3 linked regions of the Arabidopsis thaliana genome follow. The protein of the gene in region 1 purifies or fractionates together with the protein of each later gene. This does not show direct contact. Each region holds a gene or a part of one and is shown in the gene's direction. Other genes may lie near its edges.

Region 1 (6,637 bases):
GAATACATTTTTATCAGTTTGAAGCGCGTTATTAATAACATGTATATAGAAAATGTACTGCACTAAACAATTGACATTCTGTTTACAAATATTTTTAAATAGAAGACAATTGACATTTTAACTAGAAAACGAAAAGAATATTGAAAACGAAAAGTCTTAAGTGAGTATACTTTTGGTAACTTTCTTTTTGAAGTATATAGTTTGTGTGGAGTATAATCACGTTTAAAAGAAACTTTTGGGAATGTGGTAGTTGAGACTTGAGAGATTGAGAACTATTCTCACCGACCCACAAAGTGCCAAAGTTATTTTGGAATCAGGTTTACCAATGCCAATTATGGAGCTTCATAATGAGTGGCGTGGCCCTTCAATTTCTACACACACAAAAAATAGACGCCGTGTCACTTATAACCAAATATCTGTCGACATTGTGACGTTCACTAATGTTTGAACTTTATTCCTACTTTTATTTTTTCGTTTCTTGGTAAGAATTGATATGTGATGTACACTTTATTTGTTGGTTGAGAATTGATTTTCCTAAGCCAATTTTTGTTCTTACATCAAATACAATGTATATATCTATTCGACTATTACAAAAGTACTTATGTATGAGAGGTTTGGACTAGTGTCCCACCACAAAACTCATAAATTAGCTTTAGCCACATGCTGAGCTAAAATAATTTTATTAGGGTAAGAAAACTAGACCATAATTTTTACTCAAACAATAATATAAATTAGATCAACTAATGTACCTATACTAGTTATATATCTCTGCAAGATATCAAAGGAACAAATTGACATGGCTCGTGTACTTGCAACGTCTCATTTCTTGTTTAAAATACTCCAAATATTTAGGAAACACAAAAAAAAGGATATTTAATGAGTTCACCTTATTTTGCATTCGTTTATTATTGGTGTTTTTTTTGTTGGTAGGGTATTAATTCAGATCCACCGACGCCCTTCCACGATCCAGTGCACCGACGTTCATATTTTTTCTTGGCTCAAGAAGAATAAGGTGGTACATTCAATAATAACTAATGTTTAAACACACACACACACAAAACTATCGGTGTGAAACAGAGATAATGGAAGAACGACACTATTGGCCCAGACGAATAAGAATTAAGATCTATCGGTCTGAATGTGTGATGTGTGAAGGCTTGCTAGTGCACCAAAGTTCTAACCTTCTTAACCTTATCATGTAAAAATCACGTCTCTGATCTATCTGCATCATAATATTAATGTGTTTTTATCTTGCATGCCATTTGACAAATCACCTGTTAGATGTCATAATATATACTTCAATGTTGTTTTACGAAAACAAGTTTTCCCTAAATCTTTAGTAGTACGAATAACGTGTTGGTTATAGTTTCCTCGTAAAACTTGATCTTCCAAAGACTTATGAACCTTCGACTTTTTGTTGCCTTAAAATAGCAACAAGTTTCCTTAAATTGCAGGAACCACTAGAGCTTCAGAAATTTCATGGAATTGCAAACAGTTATATAAATTTCCAACTGATAATTGCAACCATTTGAAGGCAAATAATTATTTGCTCATCTTAATTTATCGTTTTTTTCACATATAACTTTGAATTTTTTCTATTTTTTTGGTTTATATACTTCGAAAATCTAAGATGAAGAAACAATGTCATCAAGATAATGTAAAAGAAAAAGCTTGGAACAAAAGCAATATGTGTTTCACAATTCACATAACACTTAAGCATGATCATAGTTCGGTCATGATCTAATTACATATCACTTTTTTTTTCTTTTGTAAAATCGATGATTCTATATCAAAATATAGGGAATTTTTGAAAAAAGTTTTTTTTTTAAATTATGCCTATAATATACTTATTGAAAAGTAATTTTGAGACAATTTTTTTTGTCACAAATCTGTGATATTTAGATACTATATTATGACTAAAATAACTCACAAATTCATAGTAATTTCATCACTATATTTGTGACGAAAAGGATCATAACAAAATTTGTCACATTTAGTGACGAACATCCGATGATAACTAACACTGTCACCAATGTCTTGTTACAAATTAGTTACGAACTTGTAACGAATATGAAAATTGCAATTTGTGATATAAGAATGAGTTAACATTAGTCACAAATTAATATCAATTGTTTTATGTATTATACAAAAGACCGTTTTTGGTAATGATAATATGTTGGCCAAATGATTTTAAAATATATTGGCCAAGATTAAAACCAAAGATATGAGTACTTTAGAAAAATTTGTACGTATTAAAAAAAAAACAATTGATGATAAAATAACACAAAACTGTTTTAGTTTTATTTGCATATGATAATATCAGATTTGTGTAAAAAAATTTTATACATCTGAAACAGAATTTTTCTTCATGTTCCCCTTTTTTTGCAAAATAATTAGTATCAATAATTATTGATTGTATGATTAACCCCATTTTTGAAAACAGAATTGTCACTCTTTTCGGAATATCTAAAAAAAAGGATGAAAAGTCAATATCTTTTACCAGATCCACCAAACTCTCTCTACAACTAATCTCAACCGTCCATCTCACTCCCGCCTTTATCTATTTAACCTCACTCCCTCACCATTCTCTTCCTCCTCCTTCATCACACAGATCCACACATCAAGAAACTATTCAAAAATGGCTTTGCTTGTAGAGAAAACCTCAAGTGGCCGTGAATACAAGGTCAAGGACATGTCCCAAGCCGACTTCGGCCGTCTCGAAATCGAGCTAGCCGAAGTCGAAATGCCTGGACTTGTCTCTTGCGTTACCGAATTCGGACCATCTCAGCCACTCAAAGGAGCAAGAATCACCGGTTCTCTCCACATGACGATCCAAACCGCGGTTTTAATCGAAACCTTAACCGCTCTCGGCGCTGAAGTCAGATGGTGTTCTTGCAACATCTTCTCCACTCAAGACCACGCCGCGGCCGCTATTGCTCGTGATTCCGCCGCGGTGTTCGCTTGGAAAGGTGAGACTCTTCAAGAATATTGGTGGTGTACAGAGAGAGCTCTTGACTGGGGTCCTGGAGGTGGTCCTGATCTCATCGTTGATGACGGTGGTGATGCTACACTGTTGATCCATGAAGGAGTTAAAGCTGAAGAGATCTTTGCCAAGAATGGTACGTTCCCTGACCCGACCTCTACTGATAATCCCGAGTTTCAGATCGTCCTGTCTATTATCAAAGACGGTCTTCAAGTTGATCCCAAGAAGTACCATAAGATGAAGGAGAGATTGGTTGGTGTCTCTGAGGAGACTACTACTGGTGTTAAGAGGCTTTATCAGATGCAGGAGACTGGAGCTCTCTTGTTCCCTGCCATTAACGTCAATGACTCTGTCACCAAGAGCAAGGTAATGTGGCACATTATAGCTTTAGAAGACACTAGATCTGATATTGTTTTGCCTAATTTGTGGATAATACAATGTTTTGAAATCACCAAAATATGAATGATATTGTTAATGGATCCATTTAGGTGGAAGCAAGAACTCTGTTTTTTGCTCTGTTTCTGCTCTGCATTTCTCTGTTTCACTGATGATTTGTTTGCTTTATAGTTTGACAACTTGTACGGATGCCGACACTCGCTTCCCGATGGTCTCATGAGGGCTACTGATGTTATGATTGCTGGAAAGGTTGCTGTTATCTGTGGTTATGGTGATGTAGGAAAAGGTTGTGCTGCAGCAATGAAAACCGCGGGTGCTCGTGTCATAGTGACTGAGATTGATCCAATCTGTGCTCTTCAGGCTCTTATGGAAGGTCTTCAAGTTCTGACCCTTGAGGATGTTGTCTCAGAAGCTGATATCTTCTGTACCACTACTGGTAACAAAGATATTATTATGGTTGATCACATGAGGAAGATGAAGAACAATGCCATTGTCTGTAACATTGGTCATTTTGACAATGAAATCGACATGCTTGGACTTGAGACCTACCCTGGTGTGAAACGTATTACCATCAAGCCACAGACCGATAGGTGGGTGTTTCCTGATACCAACTCTGGCATCATTGTTCTAGCTGAAGGTCGTTTGATGAACTTGGGATGCGCCACTGGACACCCGAGTTTCGTGATGTCGTGCTCATTCACCAACCAGGTGATTGCACAGCTTGAGCTCTGGAACGAGAAGTCAAGCGGGAAGTATGAGAAGAAGGTCTATGTTTTGCCTAAACACTTGGATGAGAAGGTAGCTGCACTTCACTTAGGCAAGCTTGGTGCAAGACTCACCAAGCTTACCAAGGACCAATCTGACTATGTCAGCATACCCGTTGAAGGTCCTTACAAGCCTGTTCACTACAGGTACTGAGAGGATAAAAGAGCCAAGCTTTGGTTCTTCGTTTGGTTTTCTGATTAAGCCGTTTATTGGCAATTGTTTGAGTCGGATTGGGTCTGGTTTGGTCGGAGAAATATGAGATATTGGTCTTCTGATGCGTGTGACCAAATATTGGTATGAATAAGGGGTTGTTTTTGATTTATGAGAGGCTGTTTTTTTGTTTTCTTCTTCTTCTATTTTATATATCTTCAACATAAATTAGCTTATGCTTTACATTATTGTTAGGCTTATTTATGCTTTGTTCTGTCTACTTTTCCAAACAAGAGTGAAAACAAAATACGCAAAGTTATTTTTTGGCTTCATATTACTGGAATTCTTTTGCTTCTTTGAATTGTATACCTATAAATCGTCTCATGAATTTTCTAACGACTCAAAGACTGACACTGATTCATCGTTTGGTAATTATAACAATGGGGGTGCTGTGTTGTGACCACCGAGATAACACTTTGACAAACCTTGAAACGAATGGAACATGGATGGAGTTCAAATCCGAGGTTTGTTCGGTGAATGTAAGAAACCAAAACACTCAAATTGGTCTCTAGTCACAGAATTCTACTATACCAACTCCTTCAACATGATAAGCTATATATCAAAGAGTCTTGATAACAAGTTACTGATTTGAACAAGACATGAGTATACCGGTTTCCTACTCGAAATCACACAACACAACACAAACACAAACTTAAGCCAAAACTCATCTGAAACTCTTTAGGCATTTGACAAATGGAGTTCAATGGAGAGTCCAAGAGTCAGGTTCTTGAACTTACAAGAACAACCAAAATCAGCTTTCTAATTAAAACATTATTGTACTCAGATCAATTGCTTGATGAATTCAAACCCATCAAAGATCTAAATCCATTATAAGAACCATCTCAATTCTTCACATACCCTGCCAAAACTTCTAAATTTGGTCCATAAGTACCCTAAACAAGCTTAAAACCCAAACTTTATTCCACAATCTTCCATCTATTACTCCACTCAACACTTTCAAGACTATAAATATCAATTACTTGAACATTAATAGCCAAAATTACATATCAATAATTAAGAAATCTAATGTAAACAACAACATTACAAAACAAAAGACAAGAATAATAAGATTTCACTTGCCTCTAGAGCATCTGAGTTTAAAACTCAAATGTACTTAAAGACCCCAATGTTTTCAAGTCTTGATGTCGTTAGTGTCTCTAGCACACCTAGTAATGACACTACATCCTCTGTTGTAAGCATTAGCCTGACCAGAGCGACAAGCGTAATAAGAAGCACCTGGTTTCTGACAAGGAACCATATCTCTCCTTAAAGTTTCGTAGCTTATGTACTGTTTCCGCATCATCATTACTCTCCGACTTATCTCCGATGGCATCATCTCCTCTCCTTCTTCCTCTCCGATTACGCCGTTCCGGTTCAGCATTGCGTCGATTTCGCCGTTTACCGACGGAATCGGAACTGTGACGGAGATTGAGAGATGGGTTTGAAGACAAAGTAAGGATAAGTAAACGAGAGCTAAGGATCTAGACATGTCGGTGTGTGAAAATTTGGTAAGATTGTGATCTCTGTGTTTACGACAACTCCAAGTAGCTCTTGGGAGTTAAACCGGTCGGTTTAAGTTGGATTGATAGAGAGTTTCAACAGAATTTGTAACATAAAGTATTTAATTTAAATAAAACTATTTTTTTCATTGGGTTCTTATCCATTTTAAAAAATATTTATTGTGGTCCACTAACAAACACTTGGTTCCTTTGAGAATCCACGATTAATTGTTGTTTTCTTTCCAACTGCAATGTTTTTTGTTTGTTTATAAGTTAATTAGTAACGTTAATGGTAGCATTAGTGTTATAGGTATCGTTAATCACAAAATAAAGAAGAATTAGCATTAACGAAATGTTGTAATTTCTTAATAATTTTTTTTGTTAAAGATATATTTATCGTTTTTATATCTTAATGATTTCCTGTAATTTTTTGTTTAGGATAATAGCTCAACTTTTATATAGTATAAATTTTTATTATAAATTATTAATGTAATAAACATGTTTTGAAGCGATTTTATTAAAATAGTTTAAGTTGTGTTTAATTCGTATGAGAAAGTAAATAATTCCGGCGGTCATTATGATTAAATGTGTGGGGTTAGGCGGTAAAAATGATCATTAAGGAGTTAGTGTAAATGCCACCAAACAAGTTCAACAACCCAACTACATCAGCTGAGCTGTTTCCTTTGAGGCTTTGACCCACATGTTCTTCTTTGCTTCACATCAAAGCATCAATAAGTTCACATCATATTGCTCAAAACAAAAGATAAAACCATTAATAACACAA
Region 2 (7,528 bases), on another chromosome or scaffold:
AATGTAGCAAACGTTGCTTAAATAGTAAAAACTTAGGTCTATATTGCCTTTCTAAACTCTTAGACAATTCAGCGAAATAAACCTATCTTAAATCTTAGGTTAAAATGTGGCATAACATCTCTTAAATAGTAAAAGAGTCGAGCTTGGGTCGGATCCAACACAAATTCAAACGAAATGAAGCAACAACGTTATTTTGGAAAACTAAACACAAAATCATTATTAGCACATGTGTAAAGTATCATCAAATCACACGAGAACTAAACCTCTACAATAAGAAGAAACAAACTTGTCCTTAGATTTCTACAGTTAGAATGATTAATGAAAAAACAATGATTAAAATTTGAAATAAACAGTTATAATTGAACAAAGAACAAAAACTTACCAGGGAGTTCTCGTCTGGAGAAAAACTAGGAGGAAAAAGAAAGAACGACAAAAAAAATTGGATTCAAAAGTTGTAGGGTTTTACTTAGGTCTGGGCGTTTGATTATCGAATCGAATTCGGTTTGGTGTTTTCGGATTTCGAGTTTTTGGAAATAGATTCTAATTAATATCTATAAAAATAATTATAGAATGTGGTTCGACTTCGGTTTGGATATTTCGGATTTTGAATCGGTATGCATGTGATATTCAATATCTGATTTAAACAAAAAATCTAAACATAATCCAAACAATCCGAAAACCGCAAAACAAAACTGAAATGACTAGTTGAACTAACATGAAACCTTAGCAAACCATAGAGTTGGGAAACCAAAGTGAGACATAAAACGATGCCAATATATCAAAGTTTTAAAGCGAAGGTAAACCATAACATCCTAAAAATTAAAAAAGTAGCAGAATTCAATCGAAAGTAGTAAAAAAATTTTGGAAGATAGTGAAAACAAGCCAGCCTCAAGCTTCTTATTAGCTACATTTTCAAACTTGGACATGTCCCTGGTACAACAAAAGACACAAATTCGGATACATATCGAATATTGCATCGGATCAAGTATAATCTGGTACCTATGGATATTGAATGCGATTCGGATTTTAATCCGATTTTCCGGTTTGGATTATCGGTTTCAGATTAAACGCCCAAGCCTAGTTTTAATTAGTTAAGTTAGATTTAGTTTACAAATTACGCTTTTATTTATAAAATACTAGTAAAGTGAGCTTTTGGCCATCTTAAATATTTTTATTTTTAAAAAAATGGGATCATGGAAAGAGTTAAATTGTTACGGTGGCAATTATTTATATTTAGTAAAGTTATATTAAAAACTGTTTTTTAAGTGGTGGCAACTACCACCTCTTTACTAGGCGTGGATCCCTCAGAACATTGTTCTTTCAAATTAGTGGATCCCTGCCTGATTACATTGTTCTTTCAAATTAGGAGGGAAAAGTACACTGTATAGAATATTTGGCATGCATTTTATGCTATCCATGAAAGCCTTACAACAAGCGGGCATCATGTGACCGAATTTCTCTCCAAAAGCTTGAGAGATCTCTAATAAGCATCCTGGAACATTCCTCACGGACGAGAAACATTTTTTTACGTCTGGTAGGTTTAGTATACCAGTCGAGCGCAGAAATGGAAGCGGGTTTGAGAAAATAATCGGATATTGCTGTAGTTGAGCATTTACAGAAACTGCTACACAAATGGTTACTAGAACAAAAAGTACATTCTTTATCGTCATGATATATATTCTTATGGCAAAACAAAAGAAAAATTAAAATATTCTGATGTGTGATTCTTTTTCAAGTTTGTAACTGGGTGATGAAAATAACATGGGATTATTGTCTGATTTATATGAAAGAAATGAAGAACTGGCTTTAATTATCTTTAATGAAACTCGTTCGAGTATTTATTTGCCTATTTGGTAATTAATTTGCGGTTTCCAACATTGAAAAAGAGTTGAAAATGTAACGATTGTCTTTCAAAAAACGCATTATGAAAATGGAACCATGTCCATGTTAATATCACTCTCACCATTCTTAGTGTTATTAACTAATATATATTATGGAAGAGTTTTCTGTTCTCTTAATGTGTACATATCATCATGGTAAACATCCAATCAAACAAAGCCATGTCACCATTTTTTTTTTTTAACACTAAATTATAATTACAATGTTCATTTAATAAATATTTATTTCTATTAATATTAATTATTAACAAAAAACTAATAAAATAAAAAATGATTTTAAAATAGTAAAAGTCATAATGTGAAATTTTATTAGTAACAATAATATTATTAAAATTTTAACATAAACACAATTAAAAATGATCATACTTCAAAATACAAAAGAAAAAAAGAAGACAAAATTCAGAAAAAGAATCAAAAGATACATATGACATGTGAACAAATGGGTAGATTAGTATATATTACATGTTATACACATAATCATGTAGTCAACTTTTTTTAAGTTAGTTATTGAATTATTAAATTTTTATGGTCATACAGCCTAATTTCTCATGTATCAATTAGACCATTGTCGACAAAACAAAATAGAAAAAATAGTTGAATTGATTAGGCTCCATGTTTGACTGGTACGCCGTGTACTTGTCAATGTTCCGGACGGCGAATAGTATTTTTGATATTAGGAAATGGGGTTTACCTTCAAAATATTGGTGTGGACGGATTTGTGGATACTTGATCAGATATCAAAGGCGGCACAAAATGACCAACGATCGACGAAACAGTGCCCAAAATCAGAGTCAGAAGTGACTAGCTCGATAGCATGATCGATGCCCTTTCACCCATTTAAACCATTCCACCTAGAACACTTCAACACGACTGAAGCTAAAACTTTTGCATATCTCATAGAGATATGTTTGATAAGGTTGCTGAAAATAACAACTTCTACTATAATTTTGTCTTTTATTATTTCGACCTTCTCTTAAGAAATTCGCCCAAAAAAATTTCCAAATCAAAAAGTTGTTATTATCCTAACAGATCTTAAATTATATGTTTCGATTTTCGGTTATATACTGGTAAAATCTGAAATCCGAACATTAAAAAAAAATTGAAACCCAAACGGATACTCAAAAACACCTACAACCCAACCATTATACCAAAAAATAAAATCCAAACGTAAACCCAAAAAACACAAAACAATATATACACATATTTTTGGATTTTAAGGATCATTTGGAGCGTTTTTCTATATACATCGTTTAGGTTTTTGGAGTTTTTCGATTCAAAAATCGAATCAGAACATATTTCGATTCTATGGTCGCATTTTTTTTTTTTCGAGAACCATTCCGAACCCGTATAAATCCAAAACGAACCGATCGAAACATATTCAGTACCTTCCGAAATCTCCCTATCTAAAAAATCCAAAACCATGTCTTACCCTACAAATCCAAAACCCGAATTACCCTAATAAAATCCGATTCAAAGTCCGAATGTCTAAAAAATCCAAAACCCTATTTTACCCTACAAATCCAAAACCCGAATTATCGTAATAAAATCCAATCCGAAGTCCGAATGTTCAAGCCTAATTGAGCTACTCACTAACACACATCACACATGTGTAAATCACACCTAACTTCTCCTTCTATATATACGCCTTTGAAAGACCAATCCTAACTTTTCATTGTTTACTCTTTCGTCTTCCTTTTCAGAGTTCAATCACACAACACCTCTCTTCAATAGCAATAACCATGGCTCACACTCTCGGTCTCACTCAACCCAACTCCACTGAGCCTCACAAGGTTTGTTTCCTTCACTGTGATTTTGAAATGATTTTGTATGGAATCCAGTTTTGATTTAGTTCAAAGTTTTGATTTTTTGATTGATTCGAGTTTGAAGTTTTGATCTTTTGGTGACGATTATGCAGATCTCGTTCACTGCGAAGGAGATCGATGTAATTGAATGGAAAGGAGACATACTCGTAGTTGGTGTGACAGAGAAGGACTTAGCCAAAGACGGTAACTCAAAGTTTGAGAATCCGATCTTGAGCAAGGTCGATGCTCACTTAAGTGGACTTTTAGCTCAAGTCTCTTCCGAGGAAGATTTCACTGGGAAACCTGGTCAATCGACTGTTCTCAGGCTTCCGGGTTTAGGATCAAAGAGAATCGCTTTGATCGGTCTTGGACAGTCTGTTTCGTCTCCGGTGGCTTTTCATAGCCTTGGTGAAGCTGTAGCTACAGTTTCAAAAGCTTCTCAATCTACTAGTGCTGCTATTGTGCTTGCTTCAAGTGTTTCTGATGAATCTAAGCTTAGTTCTGTATCAGCTTTAGCTTCAGGTAACTTCAATTAGTATAACACAAGTTCGAGTCTTGTTTAGTACTGTTTTGGAAATTGGAACTGATTTGGGGTCTCATTGTTTATTTTTGGATAGGCATAGTACTTGGTTTATTTGAAGATGGTAGGTATAAGTCTGAATCAAAGAAACCATCTTTGAAAGCTGTTGATATTATTGGATTTGGAACTGGGGCTGAGGTAGAAAAGAAGCTGAAGTATGCTGAAGATGTTTCTTACGGTGTAATTTTCGGGAGAGAGCTCATTAATTCTCCTGCCAATGTGCTTACTCCTGGTATGAATTGTTGTCATTTATGAAATCAAATATTTTCGTGTTTGTGTGGTGTTCGCTGAGTTTTCCTAAACTGCTTTGATTTTTGTATCGTTTCAGCTGTACTAGCTGAGGAAGCAGCAAAGGTGGCTTCTACGTACAGTGATGTCTTCACTGCAAACATCTTGAACGAAGAGCAATGCAAAGAGTTGAAGATGGGTTCTTACCTAGCTGTTGCTGCTGCGTCGGCTAATCCTCCTCACTTCATCCACCTTGTCTATAAACCTCCGAATGGCTCTGTTAAGACCAAACTTGCTCTTGTTGGAAAAGGATTGACCTTTGACAGGTAACTAATCATTCTGTATTGCTTTGAATTTTACTCTGTTACGAGCTGGTATCTTTTCTTTGTTATTTTAGTGGTTGTTGATTTGAATATCTTGTGTACACAGTGGTGGCTACAACATTAAGACTGGACCTGGCTGCTCAATTGAGCTCATGAAATTCGACATGGGCGGTTCAGCTGCTGTTCTTGGCGCTGCGAAAGCTATTGGTGAGATTAAGCCTCCTGGTGTTGAGGTTAGTTTCTCCCATCAGATTCTTTTGAAAGCTATAGTTTGTTAACCGAACTGAACAGATTCGTCTTCCACAACCAGGTTCATTTCATCGTTGCAGCCTGTGAAAATATGATTAGTGGAACCGGAATGAGACCTGGAGATGTCATCACTGCCTCAAACGGAAAGACCATTGAGGTATCTGATGATTTTTTCCCCCTCAGAGTTGAGCTTTTACTGTTTTTCCTATGAAATGCTAATTGTTGGCGATGGTGTGTGTAGGTCAACAACACAGATGCTGAAGGTCGTCTAACACTCGCAGATGCTCTAGTGTATGCTTGTAACCAAGGCGTCGACAAGGTATTGCATTACTTTATTGATATGAGAAGCTAAAGGAGCTTGTTTCTGTTAAATTTATCCTTTCAGTTAAACATTGTCAAATATCTTGCAGATTGTTGACCTCGCTACTTTGACCGGGGCCTGTGTTATTGCTCTTGGAACTTCAATGGCAGGTACACAGCTCAAAAACCCTGCAGAAAAACTCAATCTTTGTGTCGTTTTTGAGTCCAAAATTGGCTCATGATGATCATTCTGTGTTCATTACTTGATAGGAATCTATACACCTAGCGACGAGCTTGCAAAGGAAGTGATTGCTGCATCAGAAAGGAGTGGAGAGAAGCTGTGGAGGATGCCACTGGAAGAGAGCTATTGGGAGATGATGAAGTCTGGAGTGGCTGATATGGTCAACACAGGCGGGCGGGCAGGAGGATCCATCACCGCGGCTCTCTTCTTGAAACAGGTGAAAACAAAGTCCCTTTAGAGGCTATACATACATGTTTTTGACAAAAAATTCGTCGGTGAAAGTAACTAAACCATCCTCTATTTTCTGTGGTATGGCAGTTTGTGAGTGAGAAGGTGCAATGGATGCATATCGACATGGCTGGACCGGTGTGGAACGAGAAGAAGAAGTCTGGGACCGGGTTTGGTGTTGCTACGCTTGTTGAATGGGTACAGAAGAATTCATCTTCGTGAATGAAACCTAGAGAGCGTGAGGGAGAGACTGTAGAGTTTTTCGGGTGTTGAAATGATTGCTGGTTTTTAATAAGGTCTCAAAAGTTACTATGTTTTCAGATGTTCTTAACTTGTTATGAAAAGTAAAATCGTCAAAAGTTGAATAAAGTGGTACTTTGTTTTAGTCGTGCAAAAATACTGTCTGAAATTTCTACTTTTGAAGTCTTCAACATTGGGTTCTCCTTTTCATTACTTTTTTCGGTAACCACTTCAAATTTTATGAACCATAATGTCAAATGCAATAATTGAACATCTTTTGAAAAAAAAACAGCATATGAGTGGTTACAAAACATGACTTTTATCTATCATAAAATAAAATATTTTTTTGATAATATTTTGAAGTAACTATTCTACTTAATACTCCTTTTGTTCCTTAGTACTGATTTTCTAACCGGTTTGCCCAGGTCCACGCCTTGAAGCACTGGGAAGTACACGAACCTTCACATTGTTGAAGATCTTTTGATCCCAAACCCTGTTTCCTATTTCTTTCAAAACAGAAAAAAAAGAAGCAACAATTAACAAATCATTTCTGTTATGCCAGTTTATTGCTTACGTATCTAGAGGAACCAATCCAAATTGAAAAAGAACTGTATGTCCATACCGGAATAATTATTACAAAAGCCAAAAATGAAGAGATATTATTACAATGATTCAGTTTTAGTTTTCATATATAATGAGCAAATCGTAAATTCAAACTGCGATGATAAAGTAAAATTGACGACTATTTTCTATGGATATTCTTTGATTTTAAAGATATATTTGCAAACATGGAATTATAACCAAAACTATATAACATTCGATTTTCATTCAATATCTCTGTTTTCTAAAACGGAAAATTTGAAGTGTATATTTAATACTCTACAATCAAATTAAACAAAAATCGAATAGTATACAAAATTGCTTGGAATATAAAAATTACTTGGATTTGAAGACTCATGATGTACTCGGGCCAATGCTGTGTTTGATAGTCCAGAGAGCAAGAGAAAACTCAAAGTTAATAAGCAAACGACGAATTTATACATTTTGGGTTGATTTAGATCTATGAATTCAAAATGTAATTCAAGCATATATATATAGAGAGATAAATGAAGCCCACGTTTTACAGTATTCTTTTTTATAAATGAAACCAGGTCAAAAAAATGGTTTGGTGTGTCCCGCGTGCAATGAAAAATTGAAAATTCATATGTGAACCTAATATATTATTATATCTCTCAGCGTGTTTCATTTTCAATATACAATGAAAATGCGTATGTGACTCTTGAAAATGTAAGATTTTCTATGAATTAGTCCAACTCTTGAAAATGTAAAGTTTTCAGGAGAAGAAGGTGGACGGTTTTATTAAGATCGTGTCAAAAAAAAAAAAAACAATGATTTGTAAAATAAACTAAACTTTCGACTAAACGATTGTAACCATTTAT
Region 3 (7,462 bases), on another chromosome or scaffold:
GCTTTTCAGAGTCTCGGTGAGGCTGTTGCTGCAGCTGCTAAAGCTTCTCAAGCTAGCAGTGTTGCAGTTGTTCTCGCCTCCTCTGAGAGTGTTTCTAATGAATCTAAGCTCTGTTCTGCGTCAGCTATAGCTTCAGGTGTTTTATTTGTTGTTGTTGTGGTTTCGTCTATTAAAGCTCGAGAATGGTTGTTTCATTACCATTTTGGAACTGATCGTTATGTGGAATTGTTGTTTATTTTTACAGGCACAGTGCTTGGTTTGTTTGAAGACAGCCGGTATAAGTCTGAGTCGAAGAAACCATCACTCAAATCTGTAGATATCATTGGCTTTGGCTCTGGACCTGAACTAGAGAAGAAGCTTAAGTATGCTGAACATGTTTCTTATGGCGTTATTTTCGGGAAAGAACTCGTTAATTCTCCAGCCAATGTTCTCACTCCTGGTGAGGATTGTTTCTTGAGCATCAGTCTTAGACTTTTCATTTTTTTTTTTTTTAATAATGTGAGCATCATGTCTGTTGAAGTTTATTTCAAACATTTTTCTCTAATCTGCTTTGTATCTTACAGCCGTACTAGCTGAGGAAGCCTTGAATCTGGCTTCCATGTACAGTGATGTCATGACTGCCAACATCTTGAACGAGGAGCAATGCAAAGAGTTGAAGATGGGTTCATATCTTGCTGTAGCTGCTGCTTCAGCTAATCCACCTCATTTCATACATCTTATCTACAAACCTTCTAGTGGCCCTGTTAAAACAAAACTTGCTCTTGTTGGAAAAGGATTGACATTTGACAGGTACTAGAGCTGTTGGCTTCTGTTTGCCGCATCAATCTCTTTATTTAATACTTATTAGTTATTGACCAGATGGTTTTTGTTCACAGCGGTGGCTACAACATTAAAACCGGGCCTGGCTGCTTAATTGAGCTCATGAAATTCGATATGGGAGGTTCAGCTGCTGTTCTTGGCGCTGCAAAAGCCATTGGTCAAATTAAGCCTCCAGGTGTTGAGGTAAGTTTATCACACGGAGCTTGCGTTTCTGAGTTAAATGAATGTACCTAAACAAATGCTTCGTTGCACAATCAGGTGCACTTTATTGTCGCAGCTTGTGAGAATATGATAAGTGGTACTGGAATGAGACCTGGAGATGTCCTCACAGCCTCAAACGGAAAGACGATTGAGGTATCATAACACCGTTTCCATATGAATTCAGCTTCAAAAGGTTCGAGCTTTCCATTGTTAGTTTTACGCCAAACTAATTGTGGGTGGTATTGCAGGTCAACAACACCGATGCTGAAGGTCGACTAACACTTGCAGATGCTTTAGTTTATGCTTGCAACCAGGGTGTCGATAAGGTATTGTTTCAAAGATTCTTCGACTTATTAATACATTCTTTCTGTTGGTTTTTCTCTCAAGTCTCAACTTGTGAATTACAATATTTGCAGGTTGTTGACCTTGCAACATTGACTGGGGCTTGTATTATTGCTCTTGGAACATCAATGGCAGGTACATAGTCTTGTGTTTTAAATAAGACAGAATAAAATTCTTTCGTGATGGTTGACTATTGGTTTTTCTGCAGGCATATATACACCTAGTGATAAGCTTGCAAAGGAGGTGATTGCTGCATCAGAGAGGAGTGGAGAGAAGTTATGGAGAATGCCTATGGAAGAGAGTTACTGGGAGATGATGAAGTCAGGTGTTGCAGATATGGTTAACACTGGAGGCCGTGCAGGTGGATCCATTACCGCGGCTCTTTTCTTGAAACAGGTGAGTATATCATAAGAGTGGAAACAAAAGAACACATTTCAATACTGACGCTATTGTTCTCTAACGAAGAACCGGGTTTGGTTAATGGTTGCAGTTTGTGAGCGAGGATGTTGAGTGGATGCACATAGATATGGCTGGACCAGTGTGGAACGAGAAGAAGAAAGCTGCAACTGGGTTTGGAGTTGCGACACTAGTTGAGTGGGTACAGAACCATTCTTCTTCTTAAGATGAAGTCTGGTGATCTCTGACTGATGTGAACTAGTTGTGTTTTTGCTTTGTGTGGTGGGACAAGTTTTTTTTTTTTGTGCAACTAAGTATGACAAGTTAAATCAATCAGAAGATTAGTTTTGTTGTTGTATGCTTACCTAGTCTAAACTTAAATTCAACAACCACCGTGAGAGACACAGTTGAGCCACCGTTGTTGCTGTGTCCCGTCATGTTGTTGTATTTGAATGGGTCCGTGAGTTGTTGAGAAGGAGAGATAGTCGCCGTTCATCACCACTACAGCCACCGTGTGTCACCGGAGAGTGACACCACGAGTCACAGGATGTCAACCGCTGTCACCGGAGTAGTCGTAGTCCATCGCCAAGGCCGTTAAGGGTAAGGAAACCCTAGATCTATTATGTAACTTGCTCAGGAAGTTTTTGGCTTTCTCTTATGATCTGTGCTTTGTTTTGGTTTTGATTGTTGAGCTATGAGACCTTACTGCCGTGAGCTTAAACCGCCTCATCGAGCCCCGAGCAGATCCACCGAGAGTAATCGCCGAGAAAGGTAACGGCGAACCTTATCTCCCGTGTTTGTTGTTGATTATTGAACCGGATCTTAACCAGTCTAAACCAATGACTCTTAATTTAGTTAAGACCAGAACCGAAACCAATGACAATTTGCGTTGTTGGTGTATTATTACGTCTGTGTGGTGTAACTAGATTATAAGAATTTGGTTTGGTTTAATTATTAAACCAAGTCTAATTAATTTAATTGGAAGAATACCAAATCAATTAATCGAGATTTCTAAATTTGGTTTGGTTATTAGATTAAATCATGTATTTTTAATTGGATTTCACCTATTGATCCACAAATGAGTTACAAAAGTGATAATACTGACGTGTTTTTCAATTTCTTTTATCACTTCGTGTAAGAATGCCTTGAAATATTTGAATTTCTATAAATAGTATCAAAACTATGTTTTGTATAAACAACTTTAAATTTGAAGGCAACAAATAACAGTAGTAAGTATTTCAGATATGGTTATCAAGATAAGTTTAGTAATAGTGAAACATGATCACATTAAAATTTGAAAAGAAGTCTACAGCTAATCAAGATTGTTAAGATCGGGTCGGATAATAGCAATAGTGAGTGAGTCAAGTAAAAGAATAATCATCGTCAACAAGACACGACGGTCGGACGCGGGCGGACGCAAGAAGAGACTGGGCCACTCTAATTTTCTAAGATAACTCTAATTTCATACTATATATATATATATATATATATATGTCTGCATCAGCCACTCTGTTCTTCTCCTTATAAATAAATATAAAGAAGCTAAGCTCAGTGGAGACTTCTCAAATGGCGGTCACTTTGGTAACGTCATGTGCTTCTTCTTCTCGCTTCCATTTCCGCTCTTTCTCCTCTTCTCCGTCGTCTCTCTCCTCTTGTTTCGTACGATTCCAGTTGCTGTCTCGCCTTAGAGTCTCTTTCGCCATCACGCCTCTCTACTGCTCTTCTAAAGCCACGGCTCATACAATCGCACACGCTACTCTTGGCCTTACTCAGGCCAACTCCGTCGATCATCCTAAGGTTTGACTTTGCTGTTATGTGTTTAAACTCGATACTAGTGAATGCTTTGTAGATTCGTCGCTTTACTGTTTCCGATTAAGATGATCCACTGATTTGCTTACTTCGATTATGGTCAAGTCTTGTCAGAGATTAGCTTTCCAGATGCTTAACTGGATTCTGATTACTCGAGTTTTCTGTATCAGATCTCATTTTCCGGGAAGGAGATTGACGTGACTGAATGGAAAGGTGATATACTCGCTGTTGGAGTGACGGAGAAAGATATGGCTAAGGATGCCAACTCCAAGTTCGAGAACCCCATACTGAAGAAGCTTGATGCCCACTTGGGTGGACTTCTAGCTGATGTCTCGGCTGAGGAAGATTTTTCTGGGAAACCTGGCCAGTCAACAGTTCTTAGGCTTCCGGGTCTCGGCTCAAAGCGGGTCGGTTTGATTGGTCTTGGAAAATCTGCTTCAACCCCTTCGGCTTTTCAGAGTCTTGGTGAGGCTGTTGCTGCAGCTGCTAAAGCTTCTCAAGCTAGCAGTGTTGCAGTTGTTCTCGCCTCCTCTGAGAGTTTTTCTGATGAATCTAAGCTCAGTTCTGCTTCAGATATAGCTTCAGGTTGTGATTTCTTTTAGTAAACCTTGAGAAGTGCTTGTTTCATTACCATTTTTGAACTGATCCTTTTGTGGAATCGTTTTTTACTTTTGACAGGCACAGTGCTTGGTTTGTTTGAAGACAGTCGGTATAAGTCTGAGTCAAAGAAACCATCTCTCAAATCTGTAGTATTCATTGGCTTTGGCACTGGACCTGAACTAGAGAACAAGCTTAAGTATGCTGAACATGTTTCTTATGGCGTAATTTTCACGAAAGAACTTGTTAATTCACCAGCCAATGTTCTCTCCCCTGGTATGGATTATAATCATACTCTTAGACTTCTCATGTTTTTTATAATGTGAGCATCATGTCTATTGAAGTTTATTTCAAACATTTGACTCTAATCTGCTTTGTATCTTACAGCCGTACTAGCTGAGGAAGCCTCGAATCTGGCTTCCATGTACAGTAATGTCATGACTGCAAACATCTTGAAAGAGGAGCAATGCAAAGAATTGAAGATGGGTTCATATCTTGCTGTAGCTGCTGCTTCAGCTAATCCACCTCATTTCATCCACCTTATCTACAAACCTTCTAGTGGCCCTGTTAAAACCAAACTTGCTCTTGTTGGAAAAGGATTGACATTTGACAGGTACTCGCAAGAGCTGTTGTCTTCTGTTTGCCGCATCAATCTCTTTCTTTTATACTTATTGGTTATTGACCATCTGGTTTTTGTTCACAGCGGTGGCTACAACATTAAAATTGGGCCTGAATTAATAATTGAGCTCATGAAAATCGATGTGGGAGGTTCAGCTGCTGTTCTTGGCGCTGCAAAAGCCATTGGTGAAATTAAGCCTCCCGGTGTTGAGGTAAGTTTATCACACGGAGCTTGAGTTTCTGAGTTAAGTGAATGTACCTGAACAAATGCTTCTTTGCACAATTAGGTGCACTTTATTGTCGCAGCTTGTGAGAATATGATAAGTGGTACCGGAATGAGACCTGGAGATGTCATCACAGCCTCAAACGGGAAGACAATTGAGGTATCATTACACCGTTTCCATATGAATTCAGCTTCGAAAGGTTCAAGCTTTCCATTGTTAGTGTTGCAGGTCAACGACACCGATTCTGAAGGTCGGCTAACACTTGCAGATGCTCTAGTTTATGCTTGCAACCAGGGTGTCGATAAGGTATTGTTTCAAAGATTCTTCCCCTTATCAATAACATTCTTTCTGCTGGGTTTTCTCTCAACTTGTGAATCATATATATTTGCAGATTGTTGACATTGCAACATTGACCGGGGAGATTATTGTTGCTCTTGGACCATCAATGGCAGGTACATAGTCTTGTGTATAAAATAGACAGAATGACATTCTTTCGTGATGATTGAATATTGGTTTCGATTTTTGATTTCTGCAGGCATGTACACAGCTAGTGATGAGCTTGCCAAGGAGGTAATTGCTGCATCACAGAGGAGTGGAGAGAAGTTATGGAGAATGCCTATGGAAGAGAGTTATTGGGAGATGATGAAGTCAGGTGTTGCAGATATGGTTAACTTTGGAGGCCGTGCAGGTGGATCCATCACCGCAGCTCTCTTTTTGAAACGGGTGAGGATACCATAAGAGTGGAAACAAAAAAACACACTTCAATACTGATTCTATTGTTCTCTAACGAAGAACCGGATTTGGTTAATGGTTGCAGTTTGTTAGCGAGAATGTTGAGTGGTTGCACATAGATATGGCTGGACGGGTGTGGAACGAGAAGAAGAAAGCTGCGACTGGGTTTGGAGTTGCGACACTTGTTGAGTGGGTACAGAACAATTCTTCTTAAGATGTAGGCAGGTGATCTTTGTGCTCCCAGTTCTTATTTAACATTCTCAGAGGTTTTAATGTAGGTAAAAGGGTTTTTATTTGCTTGTGTGAACTGTGAAGTGTGACGCTTGAATATGACGAGTTACCCATTTGAAAGTATTTGACTATTTGTAGATATTCTTGTGTTCCGTAACATCACTTACCTAATAACACAAACTATTAGGAGCACAAGATGAAGGATACAAGTCGTCAATCTTATGTTTCAGTGGTCATCAATAATAACACAAACTATTAGGAGCAAACAAAACAATTTATTTAAATCTCTTTTGAATATGTTTTAGCTCAAATCAATAAATAAAGGCGCCGAGAAAAAAACAGAGCTCATTTGCACAACAATCAGTATAGTCCAAAGCTTAAGCAAGTGAGGACATGTGTTCTAGCTTTCCTCTTGAGCAGGAGCAGAAACAGGAGGAGTAGGTTCAAGCATTCTTACAGAACGAGGAAGCATAAACTCAGCAAACACAGGGTAGTGAGATGAAGGATACAAGTCGTCAATCTTATCATTTACGATCTCGCACATTACAGGAACTATAGATCTACCTCTGTAAAGTATCCAATCCGTGTGTAGATCTTGCGTCTGTCGGTCCCAGCAGAGGCATAACGCTCTGAATATCAGCTTCAGGAACTCGACCGTTCCCTGCTTGTCACCTGAACAAAGGCCCAACATGTTATGATCTAGAAGCTTTGGAGATAAATGATTTTTATAGCTCATGAGAGGGTGGAATGTTTCACACCTTTGAAATCATGGTATGTTCTTATGAGAGCGACGTTTTTTCTTACTCGGGCACTTGGCCATGCGTCTCTCATATCTCCTACCACACCATGCTCTCTGCAAGTTGAATGATGCCCAAAAGCCATTCATCAGCAGTCAAATAAGTAAATATGCTTTGATTTGAAACTAGTTGATCAGTGTGTGAAGAATGGTTTAGCCATTCTTGCATTAACTAGGAGCCCTGAAAGAAAACTCTAGGAGATTGGTAAAAAGCACAAAACTTGTGAATGTGATATTAAGGTACCTAGATCTGCCCAACAGAAACCGCCCTGTTGTTGATTCCTTCTGTGTGTTGAATCCTCCACAGTACACAACCGGCAAAGTGGGAGGTAATGATGCTATGTGTTGCCATGTGAGTAAAGCACTTCGCCTACGGGCACGAGGGCTGATTTCATCCAAGTTTGTGTTGACTATCTGAAACGAAAAACCAGGCGGCTCCGCTCCTTTAAGTTGGAATGTGTAGGCAGCTTGTCAAAGAAAACCAAAATACTGATATATAGGACAAAAACACCAAAATCATAAACTAATCTAATTATAGTTTAACTAAAATGAACCCAACTAGTAAAAAGGATATAGCCCATGTCGCTATACAAGGAACTGCGGAACCCCATGCCGTGCTTCCAGGGACCGAGGGAGACTCTGACAACCAAAAAGTTCCACCCTCTAGCAGCTCTACCTTCAATTAGTATAAAGTATA

The links. Proteins that work in one complex are often made in the same cells at the same time.
Region 2: the proteins of SAHH2 (region 1) and LAP1 fractionate together in Arabidopsis thaliana (co-fractionation; one large-scale study listed by BioGRID). This does not show direct contact.
Region 3: the proteins of SAHH2 (region 1) and AT4G30910 fractionate together in Arabidopsis thaliana (co-fractionation; one large-scale study listed by BioGRID). This does not show direct contact.

Annotation. Positions count from the first base shown.
Region 1 is NC_003074.8:8,585,673-8,592,309, reverse strand, and holds SAHH2 (S-adenosyl-l-homocysteine (SAH) hydrolase 2), read left to right. Parts: upstream 1-2,555; 5' UTR 2,556-2,638; coding exon 2,639-3,349; intron 3,350-3,550; coding exon 3,551-4,297; 3' UTR 4,298-4,688; downstream 4,689-6,637. Other genes in the region: RALFL24 (ralf-like 24), read right to left, coding at 5,487-5,843. UniProt on the Arabidopsis thaliana protein: Adenosylhomocysteine is a competitive inhibitor of S-adenosyl-L-methionine-dependent methyl transferase reactions; therefore adenosylhomocysteinase may play a key role in the control of methylations via regulation of the intracellular concentration of adenosylhomocysteine.
Region 2 is NC_003071.7:10,285,560-10,293,087, reverse strand, and holds LAP1 (Cytosol aminopeptidase family protein), read left to right. Parts: upstream 1-3,402; 5' UTR 3,403-3,637; coding exon 3,638-3,688; intron 3,689-3,813; coding exon 3,814-4,222; intron 4,223-4,317; coding exon 4,318-4,512; intron 4,513-4,608; coding exon 4,609-4,834; intron 4,835-4,937; coding exon 4,938-5,064; intron 5,065-5,141; coding exon 5,142-5,237; intron 5,238-5,321; coding exon 5,322-5,399; intron 5,400-5,490; coding exon 5,491-5,551; intron 5,552-5,650; coding exon 5,651-5,838; intron 5,839-5,939; coding exon 5,940-6,071; 3' UTR 6,072-6,282; downstream 6,283-7,528. Other genes in the region: AT2G24205 (ECA1 gametogenesis related family protein), read right to left, coding at 1,326-1,670; AT2G24195 (uncharacterized protein), read right to left, coding at 6,498-6,595, 7,030-7,177. UniProt on the Arabidopsis thaliana protein: Presumably involved in the processing and regular turnover of intracellular proteins. Catalyzes the removal of unsubstituted N-terminal amino acids from various peptides.
Region 3 is NC_003075.7:15,041,111-15,048,572, reverse strand, and holds AT4G30910 (Cytosol aminopeptidase family protein), read left to right. Parts: upstream 1-3,228; 5' UTR 3,229-3,324; coding exon 3,325-3,555; intron 3,556-3,737; coding exon 3,738-4,152; intron 4,153-4,245; coding exon 4,246-4,440; intron 4,441-4,551; coding exon 4,552-4,777; intron 4,778-4,867; coding exon 4,868-4,994; intron 4,995-5,069; coding exon 5,070-5,312; intron 5,313-5,397; coding exon 5,398-5,458; intron 5,459-5,541; coding exon 5,542-5,729; intron 5,730-5,823; coding exon 5,824-5,952; 3' UTR 5,953-6,216; downstream 6,217-7,462. Other genes in the region: LAP2 (Cytosol aminopeptidase family protein), read left to right, coding at 1-136, 245-439, 564-789, 876-1,002, 1,078-1,173, 1,269-1,346, 1,437-1,497, 1,571-1,758 and 1 more; AT4G30900 (DNAse I-like superfamily protein), read right to left, coding at 6,370-6,641, 6,728-6,822, 7,010-7,224, 7,340-7,441. UniProt on the Arabidopsis thaliana protein: Presumably involved in the processing and regular turnover of intracellular proteins. Catalyzes the removal of unsubstituted N-terminal amino acids from various peptides. Possesses Cys-Gly dipeptidase activity.